Lepisosteus oculatus: one gene and its partner. The protein of the gene in region 1 interacts with the protein of each later gene in a pairwise test. Links are inferred from orthologs where the notes say so. Each region holds a gene or a part of one and is shown on either strand. Other genes may lie near its edges.

Region 1 (7,948 bases):
CCAGCCGGGCCCCGTTCCCCGGGCCCTTGCGCTCCAGGCTGCCGTAGCTCACCCCCACCTTGAAGGCGGCGCTGCGCCCCACCTCCAGCAGCCAGCGGTGCGTCCCCGAGGAGAAGCTGCGGCCGCACAGCGCGTTGGGCCAGCGGTCGAAGCGCAGCGGGCTGTACTGCTGGGGCTGGCGCGCGCGCCTGGGCAGGAAAGTCAGGGTTCGGCCGTCGTCCGAGAGGGACAGCAGGGGGCTGACCGTCCGCTCGTCAAAGCTCAGGGGCTCAGGGTCTGCGGAGGAGAGAGGGGGGGGACAGGAGCTGACTCCTTCTGCACTCCAGGCTTTTCCAGCAGCTGCTACTGGTCAGACTGGTATTTGCACAGACCAGCACACAGTAACACTGAAAACACATCTGAAGTCTCCTGCATGGATTGTACAAGAGCCTGCAACTGGGAAAATCCGGACAGGATCAGAATGCTACACAGGGATACACTTTTAAATAATAATAATTCCTTACACTTATCTAGTGCTTTTCCGGACACTCCATTCAGTCCGTTCCCCACACACCAGCTCTCAGTGGGGAGGAGAGCAGAGTGATGGAGCCAGTTCAGAGAGGGGGGTTATTAGGAGGCCATGATCGGTGAAGGTCAGGGGGGAAATCTGTGGCCAGGACACTGAGATTAACACCCTTACTGTATTCGAGAAACACCCTGGGATTGTTAATGATCACAGAGAGTCAGGACCTTGGTTTGACATCCTTTTCTACAGTACAGTGTCCCCGTCACTAAACTGGGGCATTAGGACCCACACAGACCGCAGGGTGAGCGCCCCCCACTGGCCCCACTCACACCTCTGCCGATTGTGCACACAGACAACTCACCGCACTGACCAGAGCGACACAGCAGCACGGCATTCGCCCACAGGTTCAAAAGCAACGAGCTCTGGCTGCTCCTGGGGTTAAAGGTCAAGTGTTCGGAGTCCTGGGGCTCCCCCACCCCCTCTGCCACCTCCACCCTGCGAGAGAAGAAGGGAGCGGGGGTGACTGGCGGGCCTGGGGTGTTTTCGGAGCTGCCGTTAGCCCTGGGGGCCAGAGCCGCTCACCTGTCCGAGATCTCCTGGGAGCAGTCCTGTTGAAGAGAGCAGAACGGGTGAGGATTGGGAGAATGAGCGCGAGCCCGCCTGTCCCTGACCTTTGACCCGGCCCCCAGGCTCACCAGCAGCTGCCGGTCCTCGGTCTCCGTCAGCAGGCGCACCAGCTGGGCCCGCACGGCGGACAGCGAGCCGAGGGCCTGCGCCCAGTGCGCCCGCTGGGTGAGCAGGCTGTGCTGCACCCGCTCCTCCTCGCGCTGCACCGCCTCCAGGAGGCGCTGCTCCTCCTCGTCACAGGCCTCGCGCACGGCCGCCAGCCGCCGCAGCACCGCGTCCCGCGCGCGGCTGGCCCCGCCCTGGGACACACACACACACACACGACACGGGGTCAGGGAGCGGCGGTCAGGGTCCGGAGGTGTGGGTCCGCCGGTCAGGGTCTGTAGGTCAGTGTCTGGAGGTCAGGGTCCAGCAGTCAGGGTCTGGAGGTCAGTGTCCGGTAGTCAGGGTCTGATAGTCAGGGTCCGGTGGTCAGGGTCTGGTGGTCAGGGTCCAGCAGTCAGGGTCTGGAGGTCAGGGTCCGGTAGTCAGGGTCTGATAGTCAGGGTCTGGAGGTCAGTGTCCGGTAGTCAGGGTCCAGCAGGAGGGCAGAGCACACGACTGCACTGCTATGTGTCTGCTCCTGGGTTCTGACCCAGGTGGGCCGGTGCTGACCTGCAGGTCCAGCTCATGGGGCGGCAGCACATTGTTCACAAAGCGCTCGATCCGCAGGGCCTTCAGCTGCAGCTTCTCACACGTGTCCACCAGCTGGTTCTGAGACAGGAGGTGACAGGAGACTGAGACCCTGAGACACACTGAGGGACACTGAAACACTGAGACACACTGAGGACACTGAGGGACACTGAGAGACCCTGGGACACTGAGGACACTGAGACACACTGAGGACACTGAGATACACTGTGAGACCCTGAAACACTGAGACACACTGAGGACACTGAGACACACTGAGAGACCCTGAAACACTGAGACACACTGAGGACACTGAGGGACACTGAGAGACCCTGAAACACTGAGACACACTGAGGACACTGAGGGACACTGAGAGACCCTGAGACACTGAGGGACACTGAGGACACTGAGATACACTGTGAGACCCTGAAACACTGAGACACACTGAGGACACTGAGACACACTGAGAGACCCTGAAACACTGAGAGACCCTGAGACACTGAGGGACACTGAGGACACTGAGACACACTGAGGACACTGAGACACACTGAGAGACCCTGAGACACTGAGGGACACTTTGAGACCAGGAGCGTAACTGAGAGGTAATTATTCTTATAATAAATATTCCTATAATTAAAAGCAACTCTAACACCAGAATTCCTGCCAGTATCAGAAGAGCCTCCAGTCCTACTGGGAGTAAACTCATCAGCCCAGTGTGTGATCTCCTGTTCCAGCTGGAGCAACAGACAGTGAGTCTGTCTCACAGTGGTGTTTTACGTGATTATTGTCCAATAATATCCGCGTCTGTAAATGTTGTGTTAATTGTATCTGCATTGGCAGCACTGTCCTGCCAATAACGCACCGAGGCGCAGATAGTGCCCGCCCGCAGTCCTCCCCCACTCTCGGCACTGTTTCACGGCGCTTCCCCGTCACGCTGCGCCGTCAGGTGACTCTCATCGCGACACGGGGAGTCTCCCTCACAGCCCCGGCAACCGGCCCCGCAGGACAGGCTGGGGCAGCGCAGGGGCTCTGTTCTGACCGACAGGTCGACTCTGTTTACTCACAGCCTTCCTGCAGCAGGGCGGTGTCACAAAGACATGGCCATGCCCGTCACTGCTGAGAGAGCTACTGTAGCTGCTATTGTCCCGAGTTTGTAACCCGCTGTTTCTGGCTGCCTGGCAGCAGCGCCCTCCGGAACTCACCCGGACCGCACCAGCTCTCTGGGCCAGCTCCGGCCCCTGCTCTGCACCCCGCCGGCCCGGCTCGCCTTCCCTCGCTCCTGCCCCCTTGAGCGCCGGCTCCCCCGCCCGGTCTGGGCTCCTGGTGCCGGTTTCGGCGGCTCCGATCTTGACGCCGTTGGCCCCGTTCAGGCGGGTGGCGGCGGACGGAGCGCCAGCTGTCGGCGTGCTGGGCCCCGGGTGTCTGTGGGCGCTGTCCCCCGCCGGGGTGCCGCTGTCCAACGGGGACACGGCCGTCAGCGGGCCGCCCCTCGCCTCTGCGGTGCTCATTGCGCCCCAGCCGGGTGCCCCCTTGTTTCTGTCTGATATCTGCGGAAACCCGCCCGGCTCCGCCACAGGAGCGCGACAGGTGTGTGCCGGAGAGAGAGCGAGCAGTTACCTGTGACAGGTGAGAGGAAGCACCGACACGGAAGTGCAGGTAAAGGTCAGCGCGGCACTGGGAGCCAGTGGAGAAGAGGAGGAGGGGGGTCTCCAGACCTCAGACCCGATGCTCGCCAGTGCTCGCTCGTCTTTCCTCTCGCCCTGACTCCCTCTGAAGCCGTTCAACGGCACTGCGCGTTTTAAGCCACATGGAGCTCCTTCCAGCCAGTACCGCACTTGCACTGCGCTTTGTGAAACAGGAAACACAACCTTCCATGTCGCAATGATCCCGGAGGAAGGTAGGTCTGAGCCACAGCCCAGGCAGGCTGAAGGGCTGAAGACACGGCGCTCAGGGGCAGAGCAGTCGCGCACACTGTGCATTCCTCTCCACACACCCAGCGGGGCGCCCGGCGCTGCGTGAGAGCAGTCCTGGTAAATCATCAATTCTCTCTCCCTGGACTTTCCCCCCTTTCGGTGCACTGCACCGGGAGTCGTACTTTCTGCCTGTCTCGGCAAGACATTTACACGCGTGGATTTCCCACATCCACGCAGACTCAACCCCTTGGGCGAACAGTAAGCTCTCTCACGGTGCAACCGCCTGTAATTCTCCCGCTCGCCACCAGAAGACGCTTCACTCGGACCCGGTGTAATCTGGGTCACGTTCTGGACTCCTTGTGCGAGTTTTCACTTCGCTGTGAGGCTCTGGTGCGGGCAGTCCGCGCTGTCCATCTCCTTTCCCGTGACGGCCGTCGGGTCTACTGCACTTTCACTTCGGAAACTGTTGTCTGTGTTGTAGCTCTTGATGCCGATGCAATGAATCGAATAAATGAATCTCGATCACTTGAACGATCGGGTACAGAGAGGTTCACCGCGTGCTTACTCGTGACCTGCCAGACACCTCAGTCTTAACGTCTCACCCATCAGAGTCGGGCGTCTCTCTGGGTGAAAGCCTGAGACACGAGAGAAATCGTGCTGCCGTGCACGACACACGCCGCCGGGGGGCGCTAGACCTCTTACTCCTGCCTTGCCAGTGCCTTAAATGTCCTTTAATAAACGTCCCCTGGATCACAAAGACCACTCTAACAGCAGGATGTGATTGACATTTATTACAAGCCCATTCACATATTCTCCTGTCACGTGTTTATTGCAACAGCCCATGCGATACCGAACTGGTTTCTGCTTCGAGCTCTCGGGCGTGCTGGATCACGTGGATGCGTGACCGCCCAGCTCCTTCCGCCTGGGCCACGCTGTGTAGTTTCGCGCGAAATCAACGTCAAAGCAGCCTGGTAACGGAACGCGATTACGTCAGGGGGAAGGGATGCGGGGGGGGGGAGATAGGCCTAGGAAATCCCGCCCTCCGATTGGTCACTTCGATCGAACAGCCTGACGTCACAAGGGGTTCGTCAGTGCCTAGGAATGACAAATGGGTAAAAAAAAGACAACCTGGCCGTGCGCGGGCTCTGATTGGCCAGGCGCTCCTTCCTTCCTGCTCTGATTGGCCGGAGCCGAGGCGCTCTCTACCCTGGCGGCCCCTCCCCCCCGCACCCCTCCTCCCGCCTGCCTTTCCGTCTCCGCTGCTGGAGCCAGCGAGCTGAGCGGCGGCGAGTCCAGCAGGCTTTGCCCGGGATCCGGACTGGACCGGGGTGGCGGGGCGCCCTGACGAGCTGCACCTCTGCGAGCATCACCTCTGCCAGCTTCCGCCTCGCTGTCTGGGAGCCCGGAGCGGGCGCGCCTCCTCCTGCCCCATGTCGGATTTCAAGCTGGGGATCGTGCGGCTGGGCCGTGTGGCCGGGAAGGTGAGCCATGTGTGTCAGAGAGGTGGGGGCGGCCGGCCGGCCGTCGCAGTTTGCAACAGCCCCGGAGAGCGGCGTAGGGCAGCCGTGGCGGCAGAGAGGGGGGGTATTTGTGCCGGTTTTCCCTGAAACGCCGCGTTCTCCTAACGTGGCGAGGTACCGGGACTATAGTGGTCGCTGGCGCACACCAGGAACCTCTCGGCAACGTGACACAAGCCGGCATGTTGCGGGCCCTGCGAGTCCGGCTGGGCTTTAAACGCCGCGACTCCAGCGAGACAAACGCGTCTGAAATCCTCTCGCCCCTCTCTCCCCTCTCCCTCTCGGCCCCCGGGCGTGCCCGCAGCCCGGCCGCCTCGCCGCTGCAGGGCTGGACGCGGTGTGGCGTGCGAGGCGGGGCGCCGGTCGCTAGAGGGCCGCCGGCGGGGGACGGGAGAGGGAGGCGAGACCGGGCACATGCGGCCAGCGGCCTGCTGCCCGCCGGCTGGCGGCTTGGCGCTCCACTCGGTGTTTCTGCGCCGGTGTAGGTGCGGGCCGGAGCGGGACAGGCAGCTCAGCCCTGCTTCTCTGGCGCATGCAGGTGCGTTTAACCCCGGCTTGTTGGTGCTCCCTGGCAGGGACCTCCCGCACCCTGTGCAGACGTGTCCTGTAAAGGCCCGAGTGGAGACTCCAGGGAAGTCAGCTGGCGACATAGAGCAGGGGGGTCCTTCTGTACACAAAGGGTGGTAGGAGTGTTGAACAGGCTTCCTAGCCTTGCTGGTGAAGCTGCTTTCAGTTCAGGGCTTTCAGGATCCTCGAAGTAACTATCTACTGGCAACCAGTAGGGGCGGCATCCCTGTTGTCTCGTGATGGTAAGAACGTGTGTGGTTCAGCAGATGGTTTATTTGGGGTGACTGAGAGAGACGGGGAGCTGACTGTGCCCCAGCTGAGCCGTGGTCCATCTCTGGGCCTCTCGGGCAGCTCTGAGGATGGGCAGCGGAGCCCCTGTGCTTGCGGTGTGGTGCAGGGAGGTAGGTATTTGGGACATTCCCCCCGGCCATGGGGGGTGTCGGGTGTCCAGAGGGCATGCTGGTGCCGTCAGGCTGCAGACTGTCCTCCAGCATGGTGCACTGGGATGAGCGGAAGCCCAGCTGAGGTCTCGACGAGGGCCGGTCCCGATTGCTGATGGTGTGTTCTCGGTCTCTCCCCTCCACAGACGAAGTACACTCTGATTGACGAGCAGGACATCCCCCTGGTGGAGAACTATGCCTTCGAGGTGAGAGCGGGGCGCTGTGCCCATGCGGGCAGTGGGGGGGGCGTGTCCGAGAGCCCCGTCTGACCTCCTCCTCTCCCTCCTCTCGCGCAGGCGCGGATGGAGGTGGACGCCGACGGGAACGGGGCGAAGATCTTCGCCTACGCCTTCGACATCAACAAGGGGCGCTGGGCGGGCAGGCCGCTGCACGAGCTGCTCTGGTGAGGACAGCCGCCCCTCGGCCTGCGCGGGGTCTGGGGGCGCCCTTGTGTCCGAGCGGCTCGCACGTCCGTCTCCGACACTTACTGTGCAGCTGCGGAAGAAGACCTGTGGCGGATGAGGCCGCGCTCTCTGCGCCTTCTCGTTGCTTCTGGCCTTGAGCCCGACCAGTGGCAGGGTGCCTCCTGAAGAGCTCGAGGCGCTTCTCCTGGTCCGCGTGTGCGTTGCAGGCATTCTGCTGTTGCACAGGAGTGAAGTGGAGGAAGTAAGATATTGGTCAGGACACAGAAAGCTACAGGAAGCAGCGCTGAGCGAGGTTTTGCTGTGATGTGTGCGTCTGTCTTCTGCAAGTGTGCAGGTTCATGCCAGGTGTCCACGCGCTGGCCTGTCTGCTGGCGTCCTCAGTCTTGTCCGCTGTCATCTGAGGGCCCGTCTCAGTTTGTCCTCCGTCTGCTCACAGGGAGAAGCACCGCGGGGGCATCGCTCCATGTTTCCAGGTCGTCCACATCAACTCCGTGACCGTGGACAACCGGCTGGACAACCTGCGTCTTGTCCCCTTGGGCTGGACCCCCAAACCCGAGGAGCTGTCCAGCAAGCAGAGGTACGAAACGCTGCCCGATCTGTTTATGGTGCTCGGCGTCTGTGGCCATGGCTCTGGGCTTCTGTCCAGCTGGTCAGTCCTGATGCTGGCCGCACAATCAGCAGTCTGGCTTCAGGGCTGGGGGTTTGTAGGTCAGTAAAAGTGTCTGAGTGTCTCTTCAGGCATGTGTCTCCCCGTCTCGGGGGTTTGTCTGCGTCTCTGGAGTCCCGGCACAGGTGTCTGACTAGGTCTGTGTGTCTCTGCCCAGGGAGCAGTCCCTGTACTGGCTGGCCATCCAGCAGGTGCCGGCAGACCCTGTGGAGGAGCAGTACCTGGAGCTGAGCCGCACGCGCTACTACAACGCCAACGGCGAGCTGGTGGAGGAGGAGGAGTGCTCCTGCACCTACTATGAGTGTCACTACCCACCCTGCTCGCTCATCGAGAGGAGGGTGAGTGTTGTACTGTCTGATGACGCGTCGTGCCTCTTCGCTGGTGAGCGAACACAAACACCAGAGCTGTTTAAGAACAGGAAGGTGTATTGTAAATGCCTCCGTTCAGGGAAGGAGTGACCTTCACCAGCCACACCTTGAAGGCTCTTGTCTCTTAAGGCTTTATCTCCCTCCTCTGTCCCTCCAGCTCCGAGAGTTCAATATCTGTGGGCGGTGCCAGGTGGCGCGGTACTGCGGCTCACAGTGCCAGCAGAGGGACTGGCCTGCGCACAAGAAACAG
Region 2 (7,514 bases), on another chromosome or scaffold:
ACAGAAAATATTTTGTTTCTTGATCCTGTCTTTCTATGACAATGCTCCCTCAGATTATTCAACAATCATTCTTGCTGCATTTCTTTGCTGACTCTTTCTGGGGTGATAATGTCCTTATTGTGGTATGCTGACCAACGCTGCAAACAATATTCTAAATGAGCACACACAGCCCCACCCCCTAGACACTGGATAACTCCACCACACTTAAAATCAGGTCCAGAGGAGAATTCTACACAACATGGAGACTAGCGCAGCTCCAGTGTCTGCTCACAGAGTGGTCACAGAACCACACAGTGTCACTCTATAGACAGCACAGCTACATCTTTAAACCAGGTCCTCTTCTGCAACAGAACTGTTACTGTAGCTTGTCTAAATTTCAGAGGGGGGAGATATTACTGTTGGCGCTGGCTCAGTATTCTCAGCACTGTTACATTTGCCACTCTCCATGTTTGTCATCATGTGGACAGTTTGCACACCATTTCATTGTCAGAATTGGTGATATGGGAAGCACACTGTTGATCAGGAAGAGCAGTGAACCTTAAACAGATCGCTGTGGCACTGTGACAGTAACCTCATCTTGAGCCATGTGTATACATTACCTTGGCTTCCTAAAGCTTTTATTTGGAGGGTTAACCTTTTATGAGGGGCCTTTTCAAAGGTTTTCTGGAAATCTACATATATTCATGACATAAGTTTTGGTGTCACTAACTGACGTTATTGCTTGTTTAAAGAAGAAGACCTTTCTTTTCTTAATCCACGTTGGTCTTAAGTATGCTTTCATTTTGACTAAAACATAAGTTTACTGACTTTACCAGTATAAACAAATCTCAAATTGATTTGCCCTTTGTTCACTGGTCTGTTTCTGTCTCCTTTTTTTGAAATCCTTGAATCTGTGAGTATCACTCTCATTCTAAGTGAGAGTTGAAATATCGTCACTATGGGGCTATGAATAATGAATAAGCCTTGTAAGGCTTCAGTATCAGGTTACTGCATCTTAACATTTCCTAGTACTAAGGGAGTTCCTTCTGTAGCATGGGGTATGCTTTTGACTTATTCTATTGTAAAATCCTGCATGAAATATTAATCTAGTACATTTACTATTAATTTTATCATCCTCTGTTATTCATCTCCTAAGCATACATAATCTAATTTATAAACAGCTCTTCAGCTTTTAAAAATTGATTTCAAATGGAATGCAATAAATGTATTTCAGTGTCCTGTAGCTCCCCGGTAAGGCCAGCAGAGGGAGCAGCATTACTAGATAATCACTTTTAACTGTAAAATAGTTCTGTTAACCTCAGACACTGAAAATACCAAATGATAAATGTATTCTTATTATGTATTTGTTTAGAAGATGTGATTATCCATTTGGGCTTCTATCTATACAATGTGTGAATGAGGATAAATGTAAGATTTCATTCAACTGGAAGCAAGTTTATTGAGAAACACTTAAGATGATTTAATCTCAGGGGTTTATTTAAATACACAAAAAACCTCAAATATGTTAGAAGCAAGACATTTTTATATGCTACTAAATAACAGATAATCTTATTGAGGATACTTTAATATTAGTAAATATAAATAGACAATATCATATTTTTAAACCGTATTTCTAACTGGGAAGCTCCTTCTGGGTTTCTGCACAAACATGGTTCATGGTTCAGTAGGTTTTTGCAACAATAATCACTGAATGAATCATACGTTCGACCAATTCAGGAGGAGTTTCAGGAAGAATTGTAACAGTCTGATGGCTGTCAATCTGACGACTGTTTTACTTTTGGCTTCAGCAGCGGTCACAGCTTGGTATTCTAGACATGGCCGGTCAGCAGACTTGTAACTTCGAAATTCAGATGAGAGACCCCCCTTTTTTTAAAAAAAAACAACAAATTCTGGTGGCCATATCCCCCCTGTGGATAATGACAGCCAGAACAGCTGTGTCAGTAGCTCAACTTGCTGTGACAAAGCAAACAAATGTTAGTGTTTTCTACTATCATCCTAATCATTGGTGAAAGGGGTGTCACGGAAAGGTGACCTCTAAATACAGGTAAGATTTTTGCATTGGCGGCCGACTACACCAACGAGCAATTTTCAAGAATGCTAGGACCCCTGTTCCCTGCAACAGGATCCTTTTATCATCCACAAACACCAGTGCACCTACAGACCAGCAATTGACACTGGTATATGTGTAAGTGCCCTTTTATTCTCTAGCATTTACATTTAACACTGTTTACTCAGCACACAGAGTCCCTGACAGAAAACCAAATCTCTGAAGGACACACATGCCACACAAGGCCAGCACAAAGACCCCATGGACCCCAGTAACCAAACCCAGTGTCCCAGAGGAAAGGTCCAGAAGCTTTGGTCTCTGTGTAGTTCCTTCTGTGGTTCTTAGGCACCTTCTCCGGTCCTGCCTGTCCTGAGCACTGTGGTTCCGCTTGCCCTTTCCGACCTTGATTTCTCAGAGCTCAGCGTCAGGTGTGAGTGTGAGTGTGTGTGTGTGGGGGGGATATTGATGCCAGAAACATCCCCAGCTGCTCCCTTCAGAGGCCCTGGTGTCCATGTCCTCTCCTGGACCCATCAATCTGCTGGAATCTGTCTCGCAATCCTTCCTTCTCCAACGTTCCCCTGAGTTCTCTTGACTGAGGTGCTTGAAGGCCTCCTTAACCAGGGCTCAGGACTCATTCTCTAGGAGTGGGGGTGGGGGGTGGGAGTGCCTTTCATGAGTGAGTAGACCTCAGTGTTCAGAGCATGTTGAGGAACTGGCTGAAGCCCCCTGTTCCAGAGCCTCACTCTCCCATCAAAGCACAGTTAAACCTGTATCAGGACTGTGTGGTAATTGCACAACATTAATCAGTGAGAGGCAGTTTAAGGTACAAGATGCAAACACCCGAAGAAGGCTCCACAGCCGAAACGTTGTTTCCCTTTCTTCTCTTTTCAGCATGGAATAAACCTTTACCTGTTCCAAGATGCAAACTGCATCAGCACTGAAAGTGGCACTGGCCATTCGATGCAATATAAAACCTATACATGTCTGGCTGCAGAGGGCGCTCCTTCTCTGTCCTGTCCCTAGTTTCCTGCCTGCTGTCCTTCTGGTCCCTCTCTTTCCCTTGGGCTATATATTTCCGGGTCTTGCACTCTGTCCTGGCTCAGCATTGACGTTCGGATGTCCTGAGACACGCTTAGCACCAGGTCGCCCCACGTCCGCTACCTGAGGGCATAGGTTTCTATACGGCACTCCTGAACTCTTTGCACTATCGAGCCCGGGCCTTTTTCCTGTCTCGCCGCTACGCATATGGGTCTTTTTTCGCTCTCCTGCCTCTCCACGTTTAGTCCACGTTTAGTACTTTTGGAGGTCCGTGACAATACAGTCCCAAACACCTTTCGTCCCACACCTGTTCTTTTTCATTCAGTGTGACAGAGACGTCTATGTTAACCTGTTTGAACACTTACCTGCACTCGTTAAAACCAGTTTAAACTAATACTTCGTCTGTGGTGACCAACATGTCATTTCCAAGTTACAGTATATTCTATGCTCTGTCTTCCAACATTTCTCCAGGATGTCACACAGTCAAACTGATTATTACTTTATAACCATAGTGAGAGCTATAGAGCTTATAGACACTTAAATACTGCATGGGACATATGCGATATCCGCTTCCCTTTTTAAAGAGAAAAACTGAAAAGGTCAGCCTATAGCGTAAAGTGAAGGATTTTAAAGGTCACACTGGCGAAGGGTTGAGAAATCCATTATTCAATTTATCCGGGCTCTTTGACCTAAGAAGAAACATTGTAATTAACTTTTGTTAACTATGCACGGTGCAACAATGACGTAAACACATTTTGGAATAGGACAATTGTAGCTATCAAATGACCTAAAAAGATCACAAATTTGACCCCCTTAGACAACGCACGGAGTCTTGTTATGCCGTCGTGGTCGATACTTCTGCCTGACATTTGCTTTGATGTGACAAAATCCCGTACTGCCATCACAGCGGTGGTAGTTTCGTAGGTCAAAACACAGCGAGTCCAGCTTTTACTGTATAGCGGTATTAACAAGCCACCGTCCACATGCACAGCGACATCCCCGTTCAGGAACACTGCCATGCCAAATTTCCAAAAATACAATCACAAATGTTTCTGAAAGCACACGGATTTTCAAAACGGAATCTCAAAACAATGAAAACAACTCTGTGATGAACACCCCCTGCACTTAAAAAAACCAAACAATATTAGCTTGATTAATTTAGCACGTTTCCTTTTTGTCCTGTTAGGGGGAGGAGGAAGTTACATTAGGGTTTAGTGGAATGATCGTTTCTATACCCCCCAAAATGACACGCTCTATTAAAATATTAATACAATGAGCCCACACTGGCCCACAGCAATTAAAACTGCTGCCCTGGGTGGGGACGTTTCTTCGACAGCTGCCAAACACTTTTAAGGCATCGGTATAGAATGCTCTGTAGCGCGATTATTTATTGTCTCTCGTTGCTTTTGTGCGCAGTCAAGGCTGGTATGTGGAAGAGCAAGAAATGCTCACAGCGCAGAGCACCTGGAATGCCCAAGCACGTTCAGAAGAGGAGCAGTCGGCCGCGACTCGTGCACGGTGATCCGTGTCGCGCGCCTCGGTTGGTCATAGGCAAATGAAATAAGCAGCCCAGCTCTGTAAGATGCATCAGAGCTAAGGAGCCAAGGGAGGTTAGACAGCTGAAGCGTTTTCTCGTCTTCCTCGCTTCCCGTCTAAGGATATCTTATTTTTCCAACTACAGAAGAAGCGTGATTACATCCTCGGATGAGATATTCCGAAAACTTCTTCCCTCGGTAAGAAGCCGAATGCATGCGAATACCCTAAGATTTAATGTGCGCGCTCCATCTGTGCAAGAATGTTGCTTATACTAAAGCAGCCCGGAGACGGGGGTTGAGCTCAAAGCACCGAGAAGCACAAGCACCTCTTAAGCAATGAGGACAGCCGCCGTGGAAGCAGTGAAACCGTATCCTTACACTGTATATCAAGCCACGGCGAGTGTGCTTCATTATGGGCGTACTGTTATGAAGCCAAATGTCTTCAATTTCTGAATGCCGAGAGGCGGAGAAAGTCACTGACAAAACTATGGGCATTAGCGGAAAGATATCAATAAAATATAGAACGTGCTGGATGGATACTTCATAAGATGCTTTTGTTTATTTGTTGGGGATTTATACAATCAAACTGTCTCTAAGTATCATAAAATCAATATACATAAATACATGTAAGTAACTGATATCTCGACTATAAACGAGATCTTCATTTCTTCCCGTATTTAGGAAGCTGAATGATATGTTGAATATGTATATTTTTCCACGTACTTCTCGTGAAAGCTCTAGACAAAACGATAATGAACTTTTGTTATAGAAAAGGCTTATATGTGGTACTAAGACCCGTGTTGTGGTTTAATTACACTTCAGTCTTCATCCAAAGCAATGGTATGGTAAAGTACGGTGTTTTGTTTTTTCAATTAACGACAATAAGCCGATTTTCAACTATTCATGCTATCTTAAAGTCGCGAGGAAATGATATAGATAAATATGTTGTTATTTGCGCTATCGTGTGAAATGTTACAAAGTAGCCTTTTAAAATTGCTACAATGTTAACGATCAGTAAGAAACTCACGGGAAAACTAAAGAATTGTTATTATGAGTGCGTGGTTTTACGTTACTTTCATTTGTATTTTTAATTACACATATTTATTATATGAGAGAAATAAAAAAATAAGTATAATTTTCCGATTTAAGATCAATTTAAGCGTGACTTATAGTGATATTGTGAGCCTTTCAGAAAGTAACACACGAATGCATCTTATAGCAACAGAGAAGCAGAATGCAAAAACGTAAACGAATAAAGTTAAAATTAGTATCTGCGCAAATCAGATGTAGGAGCCCCTAAAATGCAATAAAATGTAAGGGAATAACAGTTCCCATTACCGTTAGACTGGAAACAGAATAAACAAGCAGGCAAAAAAAAAATCAACAGTTGATGCCCTTGATAGGACGTCACCTGGGCAACGAGTTCAGCACCATGGAGAGAGACCGCCTGTGCTGCAGTGTGTGGTAAAGACCGGGGTCTTTTCTCTGGGCTCTGTCCTCCCGGTCCACGTGGATGGATGTCGGCATGCCTTTTATAAAAGGGCCCATCATTCTTTCAGATGTGGCCGCAGTTGCACGTTTCATGTTTCCTGGGCATGCTGTTTTCTGACTCTTGTCAAGTCAGGTTAATAACAACAAATCAGATTTTGAATAGTTGACTCCAGCACGTAGAGACACAGGAATGATGATGTTTAAAAATAAAAACAAGCGCAGCCATGCACATATTGCTGCTTTGTTAAACACACATACAGGAGTACTGGGATAAAGGTCAACGTTAATGAACATATGACAGATACTAGATTCAGTGGGGTGGCATGGCCGCACTGCGGTACAGCGTAGCTGCCTTGCAGCACTGGGGCCCTGGGTTCAATTCCTGGGGTACTGTCTGTGTGGAGCTTCTGTGTTCTGCCTGTATTTCTGTGGGTTTGGGTTTCTTCTGGGTGCTCTGGTTTGCTCCCACAGTCCAAAGACATAGGGGTAGGTTAATGGGCTTCATGGAAAATTAGCCTGAGTGTGTTTGTGCCCTGTGATGGAGTCCTGTTCAGGGTGTACCCTGCCTTGCACCTGTTGCTTGCTGAAATAGGCTCTAGCCCCCCTGTGACCTGGAAGTGGAAGAAGTGGTTAGAAATTGGATGGATCGACACACAAGGGTCCTGTCCTACAAACAATCCAAGCTGATAGTGGGATTTCATAAAGTCAGTCACAATTAAGAAAATATAAGAAAATGTTTTCCAATGAGAAGGGCCGTTTAGGAAACCTATCTTATTAGGTGTTTTGTAGATAATTTATCCGAGGAGCACATCCTGTCAGTTCTCGAAAGAAGCTGGGATATCGTCTTTAATTGCGTGGCTGGGTAGCTTGTTCCAGAGAGTGGATTATTAATTAACTTAAGAGAGCGCATAAGGAAAAGACATGGAGTAGGAAAGACAAAAAAAAACATATGCCAGCATTAGAGAATATGTGGTCTCCTGTGACTGAGTAACTGAGATTTTGGTACGGGATTCTAGTGTAGTGAGATGGATCTGGCTGTCCAGTCTGGGAATTTCACACAGTAAGAATATTATATTGATAATATTGTTGATGTGTTTGTTCTCACATTGTCTGCTGAAATAAGGTTGAAGATTTTTCTTCATTCATACCATGTTTTGGTACAATGGTGAATCCTAGTGATCCCATGTACAGTCTAATGACCACTGCTAGTCTTTCATGAGTATTTGGTGACCAGATTACAAGACCCTATTAAATTCTGGTTTAAATAATAGCATTCTGGAATATGCAAGATGCTCAGTTTAAAAGCAGCAGCATTTTACCATAACCATATTTGTTGTTTTAATTGATTTACCAATCTGTTGAAATACTCTTTGCAGTTGAAATAATGTTCTAGAATGAGACCA

What was found.
Region 2: the proteins of zmynd19 (region 1) and enox1 interact in binary tests that used the Homo sapiens proteins (3 or more experiments, as listed by UniProt). The two-hybrid records come from large-scale screens. The link is inferred for Lepisosteus oculatus from reciprocal best matches to the Homo sapiens genes ZMYND19 and ENOX1.

Annotation. Positions count from the first base shown.
Region 1 is NC_090719.1:406,703-414,650, forward strand, and holds the start of zmynd19 (zinc finger MYND domain-containing protein 19), read left to right. Parts: upstream 1-4,929; 5' UTR 4,930-5,144; coding exon 5,145-5,195; intron 5,196-6,384; coding exon 6,385-6,444; intron 6,445-6,534; coding exon 6,535-6,641; intron 6,642-7,099; coding exon 7,100-7,240; intron 7,241-7,487; coding exon 7,488-7,668; intron 7,669-7,855; coding exon 7,856-7,948. Other genes in the region: bspry (B box and SPRY domain-containing protein), read right to left, coding at 1-276, 867-1,000, 1,088-1,113, 1,201-1,431, 1,787-1,885, 3,004-3,309. UniProt on the Homo sapiens protein: May be involved as a regulatory molecule in GPR24/MCH-R1 signaling.
Region 2 is NC_090710.1:16,414,948-16,422,461, forward strand, and holds the start of enox1 (ecto-NOX disulfide-thiol exchanger 1), read left to right. Parts: upstream 1-4,514; 5' UTR 4,515-4,818; intron 4,819-7,514. UniProt on the Homo sapiens protein: Probably acts as a terminal oxidase of plasma electron transport from cytosolic NAD(P)H via hydroquinones to acceptors at the cell surface.